Linked DNA regions of Oryctolagus cuniculus. The protein of the gene in region 2 interacts with the protein of the main gene of each other region in a biochemical or structural test. Links are inferred from orthologs where the notes say so. Each region holds a gene or a part of one and is shown on either strand. Other genes may lie near its edges.

Evidence for each region. The genes of interacting proteins can lie anywhere in the genome.
Region 1: the proteins of ACVR2A (region 2) and SYNJ2BP form a complex in vitro, tested with the Homo sapiens proteins (2 studies listed by BioGRID and IntAct, with this or other methods). The link is inferred for Oryctolagus cuniculus from reciprocal best matches to the Homo sapiens genes ACVR2A and SYNJ2BP.
Region 3: the proteins of ACVR2A (region 2) and GDF2 form a complex in vitro, tested with the Homo sapiens proteins (2 studies listed by BioGRID). The link is inferred for Oryctolagus cuniculus from reciprocal best matches to the Homo sapiens genes ACVR2A and GDF2.
Region 4: the proteins of ACVR2A (region 2) and BMP2 form a complex in vitro, tested with the Homo sapiens proteins (3 studies listed by BioGRID and IntAct, with this or other methods). The link is inferred for Oryctolagus cuniculus from reciprocal best matches to the Homo sapiens genes ACVR2A and BMP2.

What each region holds. Positions count from the first base shown.
Region 1 is NC_091451.1:16,186,463-16,190,546, forward strand, and holds the start of SYNJ2BP (synaptojanin-2-binding protein), read right to left. Parts: upstream 2,801-4,084; 5' UTR 2,678-2,800; coding exon 2,614-2,677; intron 1-2,613. UniProt on the Homo sapiens protein: Regulates endocytosis of activin type 2 receptor kinases through the Ral/RALBP1-dependent pathway and may be involved in suppression of activin-induced signal transduction.
Region 2 is NC_091434.1:94,321,550-94,325,049, reverse strand, and holds part of ACVR2A (activin receptor type-2A), read left to right. Parts: intron 1-1,637; coding exon 1,638-1,845; intron 1,846-3,500. UniProt on the Homo sapiens protein: On ligand binding, forms a receptor complex consisting of two type II and two type I transmembrane serine/threonine kinases.
Region 3 is NC_091446.1:80,860,042-80,864,339, forward strand, and holds the start of GDF2 (growth/differentiation factor 2), read right to left. Parts: upstream 2,801-4,298; 5' UTR 2,618-2,800; coding exon 2,257-2,617; intron 1-2,256. UniProt on the Homo sapiens protein: Potent circulating inhibitor of angiogenesis. Signals through the type I activin receptor ACVRL1 but not other Alks. Signaling through SMAD1 in endothelial cells requires TGF-beta coreceptor endoglin/ENG.
Region 4 is NC_091442.1:31,668,136-31,672,297, forward strand, and holds the start of BMP2 (bone morphogenetic protein 2 precursor), read left to right. Parts: upstream 1-1,362; 5' UTR 1,363-1,424; intron 1,425-2,601; 5' UTR 2,602-2,608; coding exon 2,609-2,951; intron 2,952-4,162. UniProt on the Homo sapiens protein: Growth factor of the TGF-beta superfamily that plays essential roles in many developmental processes, including cardiogenesis, neurogenesis, and osteogenesis. Induces cartilage and bone formation.

The sequences.
Region 1 (4,084 bases), on a different chromosome or scaffold from region 2:
TTTTCCTTGTAGTAAGGAGGATTAGATGGAACAGATTAATTTGCCTTGCAAAATGGGCATAAACAGTGGAAATATCCCAGATCACTGGCACAAAAGCAGAGCAGTACACACTTTCTTGTAGTTACCTTCATTAAATGATGAGGTCTTAGGGTAGGAAGCTGTATAAAGACAAATAACCATGCTGCTCACTGTAAAAAATGTATACGTAGTTAGAGACTTTTCATATTCTTCCTATAGAAAGAAAGATCCCGATGGAATTACAAAAATTACATAGAGGACTCTAACGATGATTATTGACTTCTTCGTGGTTTATCTTCATGACAACACTATGAAGAAAAGCTGAATTAGATCTGAGACCAAGAGTATCACATACCAGTATACCAATTCTAGAAATAAATAGGAACTTGAAACCTTTCCTTGCTAATAGAACAAACCAAATTGCAAATAACTGTTTTTATCCATATTCAATCCTAAAGTTGTGGTTTGACCCTCCTCATAAGTTCCCTGGCTCTGTGACTAAGACATGAAAATGTTTAGGAAAATTCAAGAAACCACCCTGTGGATAAACTCACATACAATACAAAAACTAATCCACTTTTGGTTGCAATATATTAGCTAGATAGAATTTCTTTTAATTAATCCCATGAAGTTTGCCCTAACTCCAATGCTTCTGAAAAATACAAACACTAGGAACTTTATATCTGCAAGACAAACAGACTCAGAAGTTGTGGTGAATGGTGAACTAAATATTAGGCAACACTGCTTTGCAAATGCCAAAAATGATTTAGTGATATTATACTGAATTTAAATTATTTAGTGCCCAGAATAAGATTCTGCTCAGCTCTAGTTGGGAGATTCTAGAAATGATGCAGATGTCACTGCCAAGTACATTAAATTCTTAAGCAAGAATCAAGAACCCAAACTCAAATATCACAAAAAGTAATGTTACAACAAGATATTTAGGCTAAAGGAAGACCAGGCAAAGTAGAAGCAAGGGAAAATAAGTGCAGGGCAATCAGAAAAGGAACTAGCACAGTTTTAATTAGCCTTATATGAAAAACAATTACCAGTGGCAGAAAGGTACAGAAAAACAGATTCTGGTTGAAAACTAGCTTTCCATATTAGCTTTAAAGTCGGTAAGTATTGAGTAAGAGAAATAAAAAAATTTTATAAAATAGGAAGAAAGAATCCAAGGGGCTTAGTTACTCTGCTTAATTATATTTCCATAAGACCAGCTTCCAATTTTATATAACAAAAAGAAAGACACAAAATATAGGTAGTTCTGCAAGTCATATTTTATAAAGGATAATCTGTCAGTGGTGATTAAGCTACTGCAAAATTCCAGATGAGAAAAGTGATTAACTATTATAGATAGTGGCACTGGGAACAGAAAAAAGGATTTTAGAAACATTTTTAGATGGAGCACATGGGGCTTATGATTTCTACAGGGTCTTTTTCAATAACATTTACCATGCAAATCTAGCCATTCACCCAATAAAAATAACAGTAGTAGCAAATACATACTGCTTACTGTGTGTCAGACAATGCTCTAATTATTTTACAAATATATTTAGATGTTTTATCAATTAATTAATTTCATTCTCAAAAACTATATATTGTATTCTATAATCACCTCCAATTAACAGATGAGCAACTAAGGCACCAATGTCACTCAGTGGAAAAAAATACACCAAAGAACCAGTAAGCGGTTAGATAACAAGCTTTGTGCCTAGATAGTACAATTCCATGGTTAAAGCTCTTAATAAACTCAACAACTGCTAAAAAAAAAAAAGCCAACCAAGTCCAAGGCAGGCAGTGAGTAGCAATGTCAACAGCTCAGTCTAGGGAAGGAATATCTGGGGGAGGGGGGAGTACAGAAGGTGTAAGGATCTGACTGTATCAGAATCATGTAAGTTGTTAAAAACAAATTCGTATTGAATCCAAATCTCTAGAAATGAGAACTAGAAATCAGCATTCTAATTTTATACTAGCATAAAAAAGCAAAAACAAAAACAAAGCCTGGATAGTTTTGTAGCAGAACCAAGTTTGGAAACTCCTGTAACAGATCTCTAAAGCGTCTTCCTGCTTTAACAGTCTAGTTGACACTATATACTAATTTCTCAGAAATGAGGAAGGAATCCTGGCACCAGAACATCTGTGCATTTATTTAGAGTTCACATTGTTTTTTTTTGTTTTTTTAAGAATCGTTTTATTTAATAAATACAAATTCCATAGGTACAGCTTTTTGAATATAGCGGTCACATAGTTTACGTTCCCAATTTGGCTAAACGATCCTCCAAGGAACAAGGAGAGACCAGGTAATAGAAGGAAGAGTGTGTCCACGGAATGCTGGCTAAACAGCGGGTTTTATTCTAGGCTTCTCTAGCACCATGAGCAAAAAGAAATCTTTCCAGATTAGAAATACGTGTTGTAATCCGACCCGTCATCTAGCCAATGATGGATATCAATATATTCTTTCAACATTCCTAACCTCCTACGTTGGGGCCTGCCTACTCTGAGGCCAGGTGAATCCGGCGCAACAAAAAGAGGGTCTGCTCTGCAAAGGCACACCTCAAGTCCCCTACTCCCAAAGACAGCCCGCTCCGCACATACCTGAGGGTCCTCTAGTAAGATTGATTTCTTCCTCGGTGATTAAGTAATCCACTCTTCCGTTCATGTTTTACCGCTCCTATTCGGTTCAGCTGGGGCTCTGCCCAGGTGAAGGTGAATCAATCTCCGCGCTGCGGTCTAAGAACAGCACTTCCGGTTCGCGCAGCCTCCGGGCCGGAAGAGGAAGTGCGCCGCGCTCAGAGCGCTCGGAATGCTGGGAGTCGTGGTTCTCACAGCCGATCGGTTGTGTTCTCTCGTTGAGTGTTCCGAGAAAACTGTGAGGTCAGCAAGCCGCAAGTTATTGACCGGCGAAAGTACTTGGGAAAAGTAAGGTTGGGGTGGAGGGAGGCTAGTTAAGGTAGTGGACGTAAAGAAATTGATATTGCTGAGGAAAAATCTAAAAGGAATCTTGGCATCTCAAAATTTCCACAAATATAGAAAAGAAAATTTTGTTATTCTGTGAGCATCAAACTAGACTGGGATGGACGTTACAGGCAATCCATTGATGAGATTGCCAAAATGAAAAATCTCGTATAAGCCAAGTAGGTACAAACCATAACATGCTTGTCCTTACATAGAGGACTTGACAACACCATTTGTTATCCACTCTCTGATGGTTCACCTTTGGGGTGGCCTTCTGTGTTAGTTAATACAGGTTAGCAAAGGAAAAGTAATACTTTGCTCTCTGTATGACAAGCTGTTGCGTAAAGATTAGTGTAAACCACTTGGGTTAACTTCCATAGTAAGAGGAGATAGGAGCACTGTTTTCCCTGATATTAACATTGGGAAGAGATGGTTCCCAGGACCTTAAGTAAAAGATTCCTGGATTGTTGCTGACAAAAGCCTTATTTAATTTTAAGAAATTTAAGGGGCTGGTGCTGTGTCCTGATGGGTAAAGTGGCCGCCTGCAGTGTCCTCATTCTATATGGGCATTACTTCAAGTTCCAGCTCTCTGGTGTGGCCTGGGAAAGCAGTACCCAGTGGTACTGCACCTGTGTGGGAGACCTGGAAGAAGCTACTGGCTCCAGGCTTTGGATTGGCCCAGCTCTGGCTGTTGTGGACATTTGGGCAGTGAACCAGCGGATGGAAGACCTCTCACTCTCTCTGTGTAACTCTGCCTTTCAAATAAATAAATCTTTTATTTTTTAAAAGGAAGATATATATATATATACATAAACATTCAAATTTAAGGAATAGAGAGTGGGGCAAAGTCTACAAATTGATGCTACTGGGAAAAATAGGCTAAGGATGGAAGATTAGAGCAGTGATACACACTTAATTCTATATGTATTAGGCTAAGATGGAAGTGTACTTCATTCACAGTAAAGAACTAGAGATGGATGGTCAAAGGCTAATAGAGGAGCTCCTCAGTCACCAAGGAATCAGATTCCTTTCATCTTTCTATAACCCCTTCAGTTCTCATCCTTAGAGTGTGGCCTTTACTTCATGGCCCAAGATGGTTACGATGGTTTTT
Region 2 (3,500 bases):
TTGAGTATACAGTGTGGTTATGTAAAAGCTGCTTCTTGAAGCAGCCATTGTACTCCACTCTGCAGGAGAATCATGTTTGCTTACTTCCTTTTTTGTCATACAGAATATTGAAAACTCTACTCAAGGGTTGAGACTTAATAAAATTAACAAATTGTGCTTTTCATCAAGGACATTCTTTTTTTTTTTAACTTTTATTTAATGAATATAAATTTCCAAAGTACAGCCCATGGATTACAATGGCTTCCCCCACATAACGTCCCTCCCACCCGCAACCCTCCCCCCCCACTCCCTCTCCCCTTCCATTCACATCAAGACTCACTTTCGACTCTCTTTATATACAGAAGATCAGCCTAGCATACATTAAGTAAAGATTTCAGCAGTTTGCTCCTACACAGAAACATAAAGTGAAAAATACTGTTTGAGTACTAGTTATAGCATTAAATCTCAATGTACAACACACTAAGGACAGAGATCCTACATGAGGAGTAAGTGCACAGTGACTCCTGTTGTTGACTTAACAAATTGACACTCTTGTTTATGGCCTCAGTAATCACCCTAGGCTCTTGTCATGAGCTGCCAAGGCTATGGAAGCCCCCTGAGTTCACTGACTCTGATCATATTTAGACAAGGCCATCGCCAAAGTGGAGGTTCTCTCCTCCCTTCAGAGAAAGGTACCTCCTTCTTTGATGACCCGTTCTTTCCACTGGGATCTCACTCGCGGAGATCTTTCATTTAGGTCCTCCCCCCCACCCCCCCCGAGTGTCTTGGCTTTCCATGCCTGAAATACTCTCATGGGCTTTTCAGCCGGATCCACATGCCTTAAGGGCTGATTCTGAGGCCAGAGTGCTGTTTAGGACATCTGCCATCTCATGTTGGATCATTCTCTCCCTTTTTTATTCTCTCAGCTAGTATTTGCAGACACTATTCTTGTTTATGTGATCCCTTTGGTTCTTAGTCCTATCATTATGATCAATTGTGAACAGAAATTGATCACTGGGACTAGTGAGATGGCATTGGTACATGCTACCTTGATGGGATTGAATTGGAATCCCCTGGTATGTTTCTAACTCTACCATTTGAGGTAAGTCAGCCAAGGACATTCTTAAGTGAAACTGGCATTGTCCAGAGAAATCTTTGGAAATATTTGGTCACTTCCCATTATTATTTTCATACTTAATATAAAGAGATTAACCTGAAGACCTAAACCCAAAATTGTAACACTGGGAAGATGAGATTTTTAGGAACATCTGAAGTTGCTATGTTGGAAGACAAACTCTTATTTAAGAGCTAATATATGGGGCCAGTGCTGTGGCATAGTGGATAAAGCCGCCACCTGCAGTTCTGGCATCACATATGGGCACCGGTTCAAGACCCAGCTGCTCCACTTCCCATCCAGCTCTCTGCTATGGCCTGGGAAGGCAGTACAAGATGGCCGAGTACTTGGGCCCCTGCACCCATGTAGGAGACCTGGAGGAAGCTCCTGGCTTCTGCTCAGTGTAGCTCTGGCCATTGCGGCTATTTGGGGAGGGAACCAGCAGATGGAAGACTTCTCTCTCTAACTCTTGCTTTCAAATAAATAAATAAATCTTAAAAAAAAAAAAAGAGCTAACATAATACATTGTTTTATTGTCTTATAGGTGCTATACTTGGTAGATCAGAAACTCAGGAGTGTCTTTTCTTTAACGCTAATTGGGAAAGAGACAGAACTAATCAAACTGGTGTTGAACCCTGTTATGGTGACAAAGATAAACGGCGGCATTGTTTTGCTACTTGGAAGAATATTTCTGGTTCCATCGAAATAGTGAAACAAGGTTGTTGGCTGGATGATATCAACTGCTATGATAGGTAAGGATGCATTTTATTTGTTAAGATAGTCTTAAGTAATTCTCATCACTGTCCCCTTTTTAAAGGAGAAAAAAAGATTATGAAGAGTTATGATATATTCTGTTGATAAAATATATTTAAAGAAGTAAGATAAACATGGTATACTTATATTTATCTTTGATATTTTTGAATAATCTAAGAAATGAGAATTTTTAGAAAAGAATCACTTTCCCTACATTGTTAGGTCTTTACTTTTTAATGGCAATTTTAAGGAAGAAAGGACTTTTAAAACCACTTTAAAAGAGAGTGTATCTGTTGGAAAATCTATCCTCTTGGAGAATAAAACCTAATTGTAGTATTTAATTTTAAGTTTCCTTCATTATGTATCTGGAAGAAATTGATTTTGTTACACCATGCCCCCTTTTTTTTCTTGTGGAGGAGGCCTTTGTTCTTTACCCCAAGAGACATTTTAACTTGACATTCAGAATTACATCAGAACACAGAGTCCCTATAGAAAGCTACATTTTATTTAATGTACATTGTTTGAGTTGTTTTATTCTGTACTGGAAATAAAATACAGTGGTCATGTTATTGACTGCCTATGTTCTCTCTGTAAAGAGTCCCATAGATGTTGGGCTGATCGCTTCAACTGTTTGGGCCACAAGATTTCCACTGCGGTGGGTGCTGAAGACTGACATTTGCACCCAGAAAGTGTTGCTGTATACACTGGATTGTAGATACTGTGGGTCTACTTTTAGGAGCCTGAATTGTTATCTTTAAATTGTGATTGGTTAGCTGTAACGGATAGAAAAATGCATTTACTGAGCCCATAAAAAATAGTTCTACTTTTGTTGAGAGATTAAAACAGTCATTTAGATATATATTTAGTTTTTAGGATATACTTTTAAGTCTGTGAGTTTCCCAGGGATTATTCCTCTATAATTATGTTTTAGCTGCATTTCTGATTAACCCCTCTACTAACAGAAATGGTCATCGGGTGATATGTGGTATCCTGAAAGGTAAATAGAAGAAATTCAGAGGGGAAGGGAGATGAAATTTGAGAGTCATGTTTGTCCAAAACTGTCTTCATGAGTTGAAATCAAGAATTCTTACCTTTTGTGGTGAAAAATTACTAAAAACAGTATTTCATTTATGTGAACTGCAGGCAGTGGTGAAAAGGGTACTGAGCCATTTTCCACTGGAGATCTGGATCGGGGAGTGCATTATTCAGTGCAAATGTTTGCTGTTGGAATGATAATTACTTCAACAGCTTTGTTTTGGGGGATTGAAGGCTGATTTAAAAATAAGTGAAATTTTGGTTTTATGCTCTGGTTTTGATTGAACAGTAATACAGATAGTAAGAGCAAGAAAAGTCAAAGAATGTCAATGTATGAAAGAAAAGGTAGTAATAAAAGATGAAATTGGATAGTGAAAGGTAATTCTTTTCAATTAGTTATTTAACTGTTCATCTACAATTTGAGGTGTGATTCTAAATATTTTTAAATTTATGCATTTATATTTATAAATTAATATTTAGCTTTGATTTGTTTTATCTTTTGGCAACTAGGTTTTTGTATACTCATAGGTTATATTTTAAAATTTCATTTGCTACAACTACTGTCTCCCTCATGTTTCTTGAGCTTTTCACTTAGGAGTTGAGTTCAAACTTATTCTAA
Region 3 (4,298 bases), on a different chromosome or scaffold from region 2:
CCTGATGACTGGGACTTAAGGCATCTCATTGTCAAAAGGCACTGAACTGGTGAGGACCCTCACACGGGGACAAGGACTAAAGGCATTCATTGTCAGGCTTAGGGGAAGATGCTCTGGCATGGATTTACAGCAAAGAGCCTCGGAGGGGGACGTGAAAGTCAGCGTTACAAACCTCAGCGTCTACACTGTGTATAAATCCTTTGGAGTAGTAAATCCAAAGCACAGTGAAAACAGATTTTTTTTTTCCAGTATTCGTGGGGAAAAGATCTATTAGCCTCATGGCTTTGTCACATCAGGCAAAACGGGGCCTGTTTTTTAGATAAGTAATCACTTCCATTTTCCTCTTCCTGGGACTGCTGTTGGGGCATATAGGATTAAGCCTCTGCTTGTGATGCCGGCATCCCATATGGGTGCTGGTTCAAGCTGGACTGCTCCTCGTCCAATCCAGCTCCCTGCCAATGTGCCTGGGAAAGCAGCAGAAGAGGGCCCAAGTGCTTGGGTCCCTGCACCCATGTGGAAGACCGAGATGGAGCTCCTGGCTCCTGGCTTTGGCATGGCCCAGCCCTGGCCATTGCAGCCATTTGGAGGAATGGACCAGCCGGTGGACTCTCTCTCTCTCTCTCTTTCTCTCTCTGTAGCTCTGCCTTTAAAAAACCAATCCCTGCTTCCAGGGAGCTGACCCTCAGCCATCAGCCTGTGTCTACTACAACACAGCTCACTAACAGCGAGGGGAGAGAAGTGGTGTTTCTGAGCGCCTACCACGCACCAGCAGCAGCGAAGGGAGTGCTCTCCCAGAACCCTGTGGGCAGGTGTCGGTATCCAACAGACTGGGGCTGGGAAGGGGAGTCCAAGCCCCTCTGTGCCTCAACTTTCCTCATCTGTGAAATGGGGCTCATCCTGCCTGCCTCCCAGAGCCAGGGTGAGGCTCGGATAAAGCGGTGCCTCCAACCTCCTGGACATGGTCTCTGGCTCCCAGTGGACACTTAGTCAAGACTTCTGCATCCCACATGCCCTGCTGCCTCCCATACAGGCTCCCTCCACACACCAAAGCCTGCCTCCCTGGGCCCTCCGGGATCTTGTGTGCAGGGAAGCAGAGGGGAATGCTGGGATCCCAGGAGGGCTCCAAACACGGGACCCAGGGCCTGGGGAGCTGCAGAGTCTGTCTTTCTCAAAAGGGAGGCCAGCGTGTTACAAATCAGGCTCGTTCACGTGGAATCTGGATTTTTCTCTTTCGGACAATGGGGAAATCCAGCACTTTGGGCAGGCAGCCGTGACCGCAGCGAGCGGCCCTGACTCCTGTACATGCTCTCTTCCCCAGGCAGGTCTGGTCTGGCCTGGCCTGGCCTGGGTGCTGAGCTGCGAGCCCCTTAGATGTTTGCAAGGCTGAGATCCGGAAGGGGAGAGGCCTGTGCCCCCGCAGCCCTTCAGACAGGACTGCAGCAGTAAGAAGTGTCAGTGCCTTGGGGCTGGCGCTGTGGCGCAGTGGGTTAAAGCCCTGGCCTGTAGTGCTGACATCCCATATGGGCGCCGGTTCTAGTCCTGGCTGCTCCTCTTCCCATCCAGCTCTCTGCTATGGCCTGGGAAAGCAGTGGAAGATGGTCCAAGTGCTTAGGCCCCTGCACCCACGTGGGAGACCTGGAAGAAGCTCCTGGCTCCTGGCTTCAGCCTGACACACTCCTGACCATTGCGGGGCCATTTAGTGAATGAACCAGCACATGGAAGACATCTCTCTCTCTAACTCTGCCTCTCAAGCAAGTAAGTAAGTAAATAAATAAATAAAATATTTTTTAAAAAACTGACGTCTCTTCAAAACTTTCTTAGCAAAACTCATACTATGAAAAAGCTACATGGATTTCAAAATTTTTTTTGCACCAAAATGCACTTTTAAGTCCACTTTTCACAAGGGACTTTTTGAAACTCCGTGGTATGGTAGGGAGCTGGAGACTAACAAGTGTTCTGCTTCTGAGTAGGAGGGGATACCCAGGGGCCAGAGGGAGAGCAGAGGAAGGGCGGGGGGGGGAGGAGGGAAACCTGGCACCCCTGAGCACCTACTGTGTGCCATTGGCCCAGGGGCCAGGGAAGTGGACTCTGCACAGCAAGCGGGGGCGACTGCTGAGCCCTGGAATGAGCCTGGAGAAACCAACAGGCCACTTCTTCATTTCATTTCCCGGCAGCCTGAACGATGACCACCTGAAGCGTGGACCTGCGAGCTCAGTCAGCCCTGGAGACCCCGCCCCCCCGCGAAGCCCTCCCTACCTTCCACGCTGAAGCTGCGCACGATGTTGGAGGCGGGGGTGGAGGACTTGTCCGAGGTGTACCTGTTGTACAGGTCGATCATGTACTGCGGCGGCTCCGCCCTGGTCCTGTCCTGGGAGGGCACCCCGCTCAGGTTGAGGCTGCGCAGGAAATCCATCTTCATGTTCTCCAGGAACACCTGCAGATCCAGCGCGCCCTGCGGCGGCCCCACTCGGGGCTCCCCCTGCGAGGCGCGGCTGTTCCCCGCGCCAGAGGCCCGTCCCCAGCTCTGCAGAGGCTTTCCCTGCCCGGAGCAGGACAGCAGCGACAGCACGGGCAGGGCCACCCACAGCGACCCGGGGCCCATCTTGGAGGAGACCATGGGGCTTTAGCGCGCGCAGGGAGCGGCCTGGGAGGAGCGCGCCCGCATCGTCATCCCGCTGACTCCGCTAGGAGTACTGCCGCCAGCCCCGCGGGCCCGGACTCCATCCGCTTGTTCTTATCTGGCCCCACGAAGCTGCGAGGGGAGCTGTTATCGGCAGGGACCCTCGGTTAATGAAGGTTCTGTAAACATGTGGCAAAGCGCAGGGCCTGTGGGAAGGACACGGCCTCCCGGGAAGAATCCCCTCGACCGGTCGGTCGTCGCCCCTAATTAGGGTCCTGGCTGGTTTCCCGGACAGCTCCATTCAGGGGACACTCCAGCCCCTGGGCTTCAGGAACAAAGAAGCCAGGAAATAAGGCCCAGAAGCCCTCCAAATATAGCAATGACCGCAGTGGACACCCCAAGTTCAGGGCAAATCGGTGTGCGCCTGCTCGGTTGGGAATGGGAACCTGCCACGTGGCCGCACCGCGCCCCTGTGTCTGTCCAATGAGCTGCCTGCCCAGCACTGCCATTCCCATGTCACATAATGTGGCCAGGAGGACCTCGGGGTCAGGGTGGATGGGGGTTCCAACGCCAGCCCCCACGAATGGAACCTGGAGCAGCTTTGACTTTGGTTCTCAGCGCCTCCTGCTCGGAGGGGAATTGTGATGATGGAAGATGGTCAACAGGAGCAGCCACAGGCATGGGTGTCTCTGTTCTGGGTGCCTCCTCCCCACCTCTGGGCCTCCTGAGCTGGAGCTGGGGGAAGAAGCTCCTTGTTCTCTCCCTACCCTCCAGCTCTGCAGTAGCCCTGCAAACACACTGCAGCCTGCCAGCCCCTGGGAGCTCCCAGACCAGCTCTGTCTCTGGTCTGCATGTGTGTGTGTGTGTTGGGGGGGTGGGCAGCCTGCTTCACATCCATCAGCCAGCAGAGCTATGCGGAGTCTGGGCAGGCAGAGAAGGTGGGACGCTCTGAGATGGCTCCCTGGCCAGAGGAGGCTGACAAGCTGCATCCCAGTTGATGTGGCCCGAGGGACCCCAGGGACTGTGTCATTACAGTTTCTGTCTATGTCCATCACAAGAGGCTTTGGTGCAAAGCAAAGAAAGAGCACAGTTCAAAGCACTTGGCAGGTGTGCCTGGTGGTCCACGCTGGGGAGAATTTGAAGCTGACATTGATCCAGGCTGGTGGGGCTCCTGGGGGAGGACACAGAGAGATGCAGGAGGGGCCCAGCAGGCTGTGGTCACAGATCCCAGTGGGGGGAAGGGAGAGACCAGAAACCCTGAATGGCCACACCCGGACGGAACTTGCTGTCCTCATCCAGCTGCTCGGGGGCGGGCAGGAAATGGCTCTGGGCATTGGTCCAGCCCAAGGCAAGAGGAGGGGGGAAAAAGATCCAAGTGGGTGCCAAGCTTGGGAAATGGAGCTGCCCCCTGCCGAGTGTGGCATGGTGCAGGGAGCTTCGGAGGGCAGTAAGTGGCCCCCAGCGTGCTCCAGTCCCAGAGGCCAACGGGACGTTTTCACACGGGAGTGGCTGAGCCGCGTGGTGGCAGGGAGCCCGCTGGATGTGCTCAGGGTGGTACAAGGGTCAGTTAACTGTTGATTTTTTAAAAATGTGACGGGGCAGGCATTTGGTGTTGTGTTCAGTATACTAGTTAGACCTAGTGTAGCCCATGTCATGTAGCCCATGTCAGAGATCCTGA
Region 4 (4,162 bases), on a different chromosome or scaffold from region 2:
CTAGGGCAGGGGGGTGGAAGCGCCAGCGCCCCCCTCGGCGGCCGCGCGCCCCCGCCCTTGGCCCCACCCCGCTGCGGCTGCCCCCGGCGCGCCGTCCACACCCCTGAGCGCCGCTCCCGCCCGCTCGGGGATCCCCGGCGAGCAGTGCCGCCGAGGGGGAGGTGTTCGGCCGGGGCCGGGAGGGAGCCAGCAGGCGGCGTCCCCTTTAAAAGCCGCGAGCGCCGCGCCACGGCGCCGCCGCCGCCGCCGTCGCCGCCGGAGTCCTCGCCCCGCCGCGCTGCGCCCGGCTCGCGCTGCGCCCGCCGCTCCGGTTCCCACACCCCGCCGGGGATTGGCAGCCGCCGCCGGACATCAGCCGCCGCCGGCGACCCGAGCGCCCTCGAGGCGAGCGCCGCGCGGATTACTGGGCGCTGCGAGGCACCCGCGCACCGCAGACCCCTCGCGGGTTGGAGCACCCGGCCGTTGCGCGCCACAGCTCGGTGGCCTCGGCTGCCCGGGCCGCGCCGGAGCCGCGGACGGGCGCGCGGAGCGCCGGAGAGTGCGGAGCCAAGCCCGAGCGCCGCGATGCCGAGCACCTCCTGCCGGGGATCGGGGGCTCGAGACGTGCCAGCCGAGGTGTGATCGGACCCCAAGCCGGCCACAAAGGGCACTTGGCCCGAGGGCTAGGACAGCAGCGAGGGCAGAGCGCGGCCACCCGCTTCGGCGGCCCGGGACTCGGCTGGGCTCGCGGAGAATGCGCCCGAGGACGACGGGGCGCCGGAGCCGCGGCTGTTTCCACTGGCCAGCGCTGATGGGGGTGCGCTGGCGGCAGGCAGAGTGATGCGGGGGGGCAGCTCGCCGGGCATCGAGATCGCCGCTGTGCCCTTCCCCGGACCCGGCGTCGCCCAGGATGGCTGCCCCGAGCCATGGGCCGCGGCGGAGCTAGCGCTGAGCGCCCGACCCTCGCCCCCCGGAGTCCCGCAGGCGGCCCCGCGCGCGGCCACGCGTCCCGCGGGCGCTGGTGCCTGAGGACGACGACAGCAGCAGCCTTTCCTCTCTGCCTTCCCTTCCCTTCCCCGGCCCGCACTCCTCCCCCTGCTCGCTGTTGTTGTGTGTCAGCACTTGGCTGGAGACTTCTTGAACTTGCAGCCTTAACTTGCGCTGCTCCCCGCTTCGCGCCGGTGCCCGCGCCCCGGCGGAGCCGCCTCGCTGCCTCCGAGCCCCGCCGCGCTGCAGCCCTCTGCCGGGCCGAGCCCGGGACGCCGCGCCCTGCGCGAGGAGAGGGACTCGGCGGCCGGCGCCGGGAGGAGAAGCCGGAGGCCACGGGAAGGGAGCGGACGCCCGGTCCCCGCGCCAGGTCCCTGGGCCAGAGCTTTTTCCATGTGGAGGCTCTTTCAATGGACGTGTCCCCGCGGGCTTCTTAGACGGACTGCGGTCTCCTAAAGGTACGGGACGCGCGGGCCCCGGGGTGCGGGGCGGGCGCTGGGCTCGCGCGGCGGCGGCGGCGGCGGCGGACCCCCCTCCGGGGCGCGGCCGGGCAGGACGTAAACAGACCCCTCTCCGGGGCCACGTGCAGCCCAGCCCGGCGGGGGCGCCCCCTTTCCCCGCGCCCGCACGCTTCCGCCCCTCCTCCGCTCTTCCTCGATATATTATTAAGGCTGTTAACACTTAGATGATTTTTTTAAAAAATTAAAAAGTCAAAGAGCTGCCTTGGAGAGGATGGCCCCTGGGTTTCACCCGTTAGCTGCCAACCTGTACGCCGTGGCACGGCGCTGTCTTCATCAAGATTCTGGGGGAGACCCGCGCTCTCCATCAGAGCCCCGTCCCCCGTAGGAAAGCGCTGGGCGTTAGGGGTTCTCTCCGCCGGTTGCTAGAAGCGCTAGAGGGCCAGGGTCCCGCTCGCGCCGTGGGTTTCCCCGCTGGCACGTGCGCGCGTGGAGATCGGCCCTTTATGTAACGCCGGGAAGGTACCTGCGTACGCGACCGCACCGGGGGCTCGCGGGCGGGCGTGGAGCGGGGCGTCCCGACACCCAGCGGGCAGCCACCGCCAAGCGGCTTCAGAAGTCGTGGCCCTGAGTTTGCAGGGTCTGGAAGTGGTGAACTGTGGCTCAGGAAGTTCCGTGCCCCGGTTCTCAGGAAGTCACATGCGCGCGCGTTTATAGGCAAGGGAGCGCTCTGAGTTTGGCTAGGCGCGGCAGGGTGTCAGATCAAGCGGTGATCCCCCAGACTCCCTGCATGGCTGCCAGCTCTGGTGTGTGTGTGTGTGTGTGTGTGTGTGTGTGTGTGTGTGTGTGTGTATGGGAGGGGGGAGTGACAACCACTTAAGTTCAGTGGGGAGGGAGCGAGGGATAAGGCCAACCCCCAAATCAAGTATCAGACGGGCCCAGGCTGGGGTGGGAGAGAGAAAAGTGCTCTGGGTCAGGAACTTGGGGCCCTCCATTCCCCCACCCCACCCCAAACGTTAGAGCTGTGGCCGCTCTGACATAGCCAGCAAGTGCTGCAAGGCAGGAGGGCGCCCTGGAGGAGGAGGCGAGCGAGCGCAGCGGGAGCCCAGGCCGCGGGGGCGGGAAGGGAGAGGACTGGGCGGGGAACTCGGGTGACTCACGTCGGCCCTGTCCGCAGGTCGACCATGGTGGCCGGGACCCGCTGTCTTCTAGCGTTGCTGCTTCCCCAGGTCCTCCTGGGCGGCGCGGCCGGCCTCATCCCCGAGCTGGGCCGCAGGAAGTTCGCGGCGTCATCGGGCCGCCCCTCGCCCCAGCCCTCGGACGACATCCTGAGCGAGTTCGAGTTGCGGTTGCTCAGCATGTTCGGTCTGAAGCAGAGACCCACCCCTAGCAGGGACGCCGTGGTGCCCCCCTACATGCTGGACTTGTACCGCCGGCACTCCGGCCAGCCTGGCGCGCCCGCCCCGGACCACCGGCTGGAGAGGGCAGCCAGCCGCGCCAACACGGTGCGCAGCTTCCACCACGAAGGTAAGGCGAGGCGCGCGCCGCAGGGGCAGAGACGCGGGCGGGTTGCTACCCGCAACGCCGAGCACCAAGGCCGGCTGCGGGCATCCCTGGAGAGGCAGTTCAGCCAGAGCTCTGCGGATGCTGTCCCTCTTGCTTCCGTACCGACCTTTCTGAATCTGATTTTCAGGCACTGCTCGTGTGGCGGGCCAGCCAGGGATTCCCCCTTGGTCGGTCCGTACCCGTTTCCTGGCACGCAGCCAGGAGGGCGACTCCTCCTCCAGGAACCAGAGCGGAATCAAGGGATGGGGAAGACGAGGCTAAAAGGCATGCCCCTGGTCAGCTAAGCGTGCAGGAATTCCGCAGTGGGAGAAGGAGGAGGTTTGGGATTTCTTGAAGTCTGTTTGGAAGCCCTTGCTCCATAAATCTGTGTCTCCAGCTTAAGCCAGGGTTTCAAGCTAGACTGAGGCAAGGGCGGAATTCTCAGATAGTCTTGAAAAATCAAAGCCCAGGGCCCCCAAGTCTTCCTAATTTACAGTGGATCTGGGCCTGCGTTGGAAGATTTCGAATCCCTATCTAATCCCCGTGGGAGATCAATTCCACAATCAATCTTATTGTTTCCACAATGACTTTCTTGTCTCGTGCTTAAATCTGAGATAGGCTCAGAGTAGAGACAAAGCAAGCCTTCAGATAAAACCTTTTGCAGCAGCTGCCTGTCTTCCTTCACATGCATTGAAATGTGATTTTTTTTTTCTTTTATGATCCTGGATGTGGTTTTCCTAAGGTAGGATATTTCTGCTGGTTTCATCAGGAAGGCATTTAGTGGATTTGAAATGTCTTAGGGCAGCTATGGAGCTCTGTTGCACCTAACTTCTTAGCACCGTTAGTCAACTACATGCTACATTTCCATTCTTTTGTTCTTTTAAATGTGCCTTTGGCTTAATAGCTCTAAATACAGAATGCATTCCTGCGAATTCTAGAAAAGAGTGGAGTTACAGATCACAGAACAGCCACTTGCACTGACTGATGTTCCCTTTTCCTTGACGAAAACAATTTTCTCTCAGTGGGACGTTTTCAAGAACGATGGGTGATAATGAGAAGAAGTCCCAAAGGCAGGTCCCATCACACAAGCTACTTCTCATCCCAGCTGTCACAGTGAAGGGAGCTGGGAGCTGGTAGCACGTGTTCCAGCACATTTTGAAGTAAAGTGTTTTCTGAAGATCTGAGGATCAACA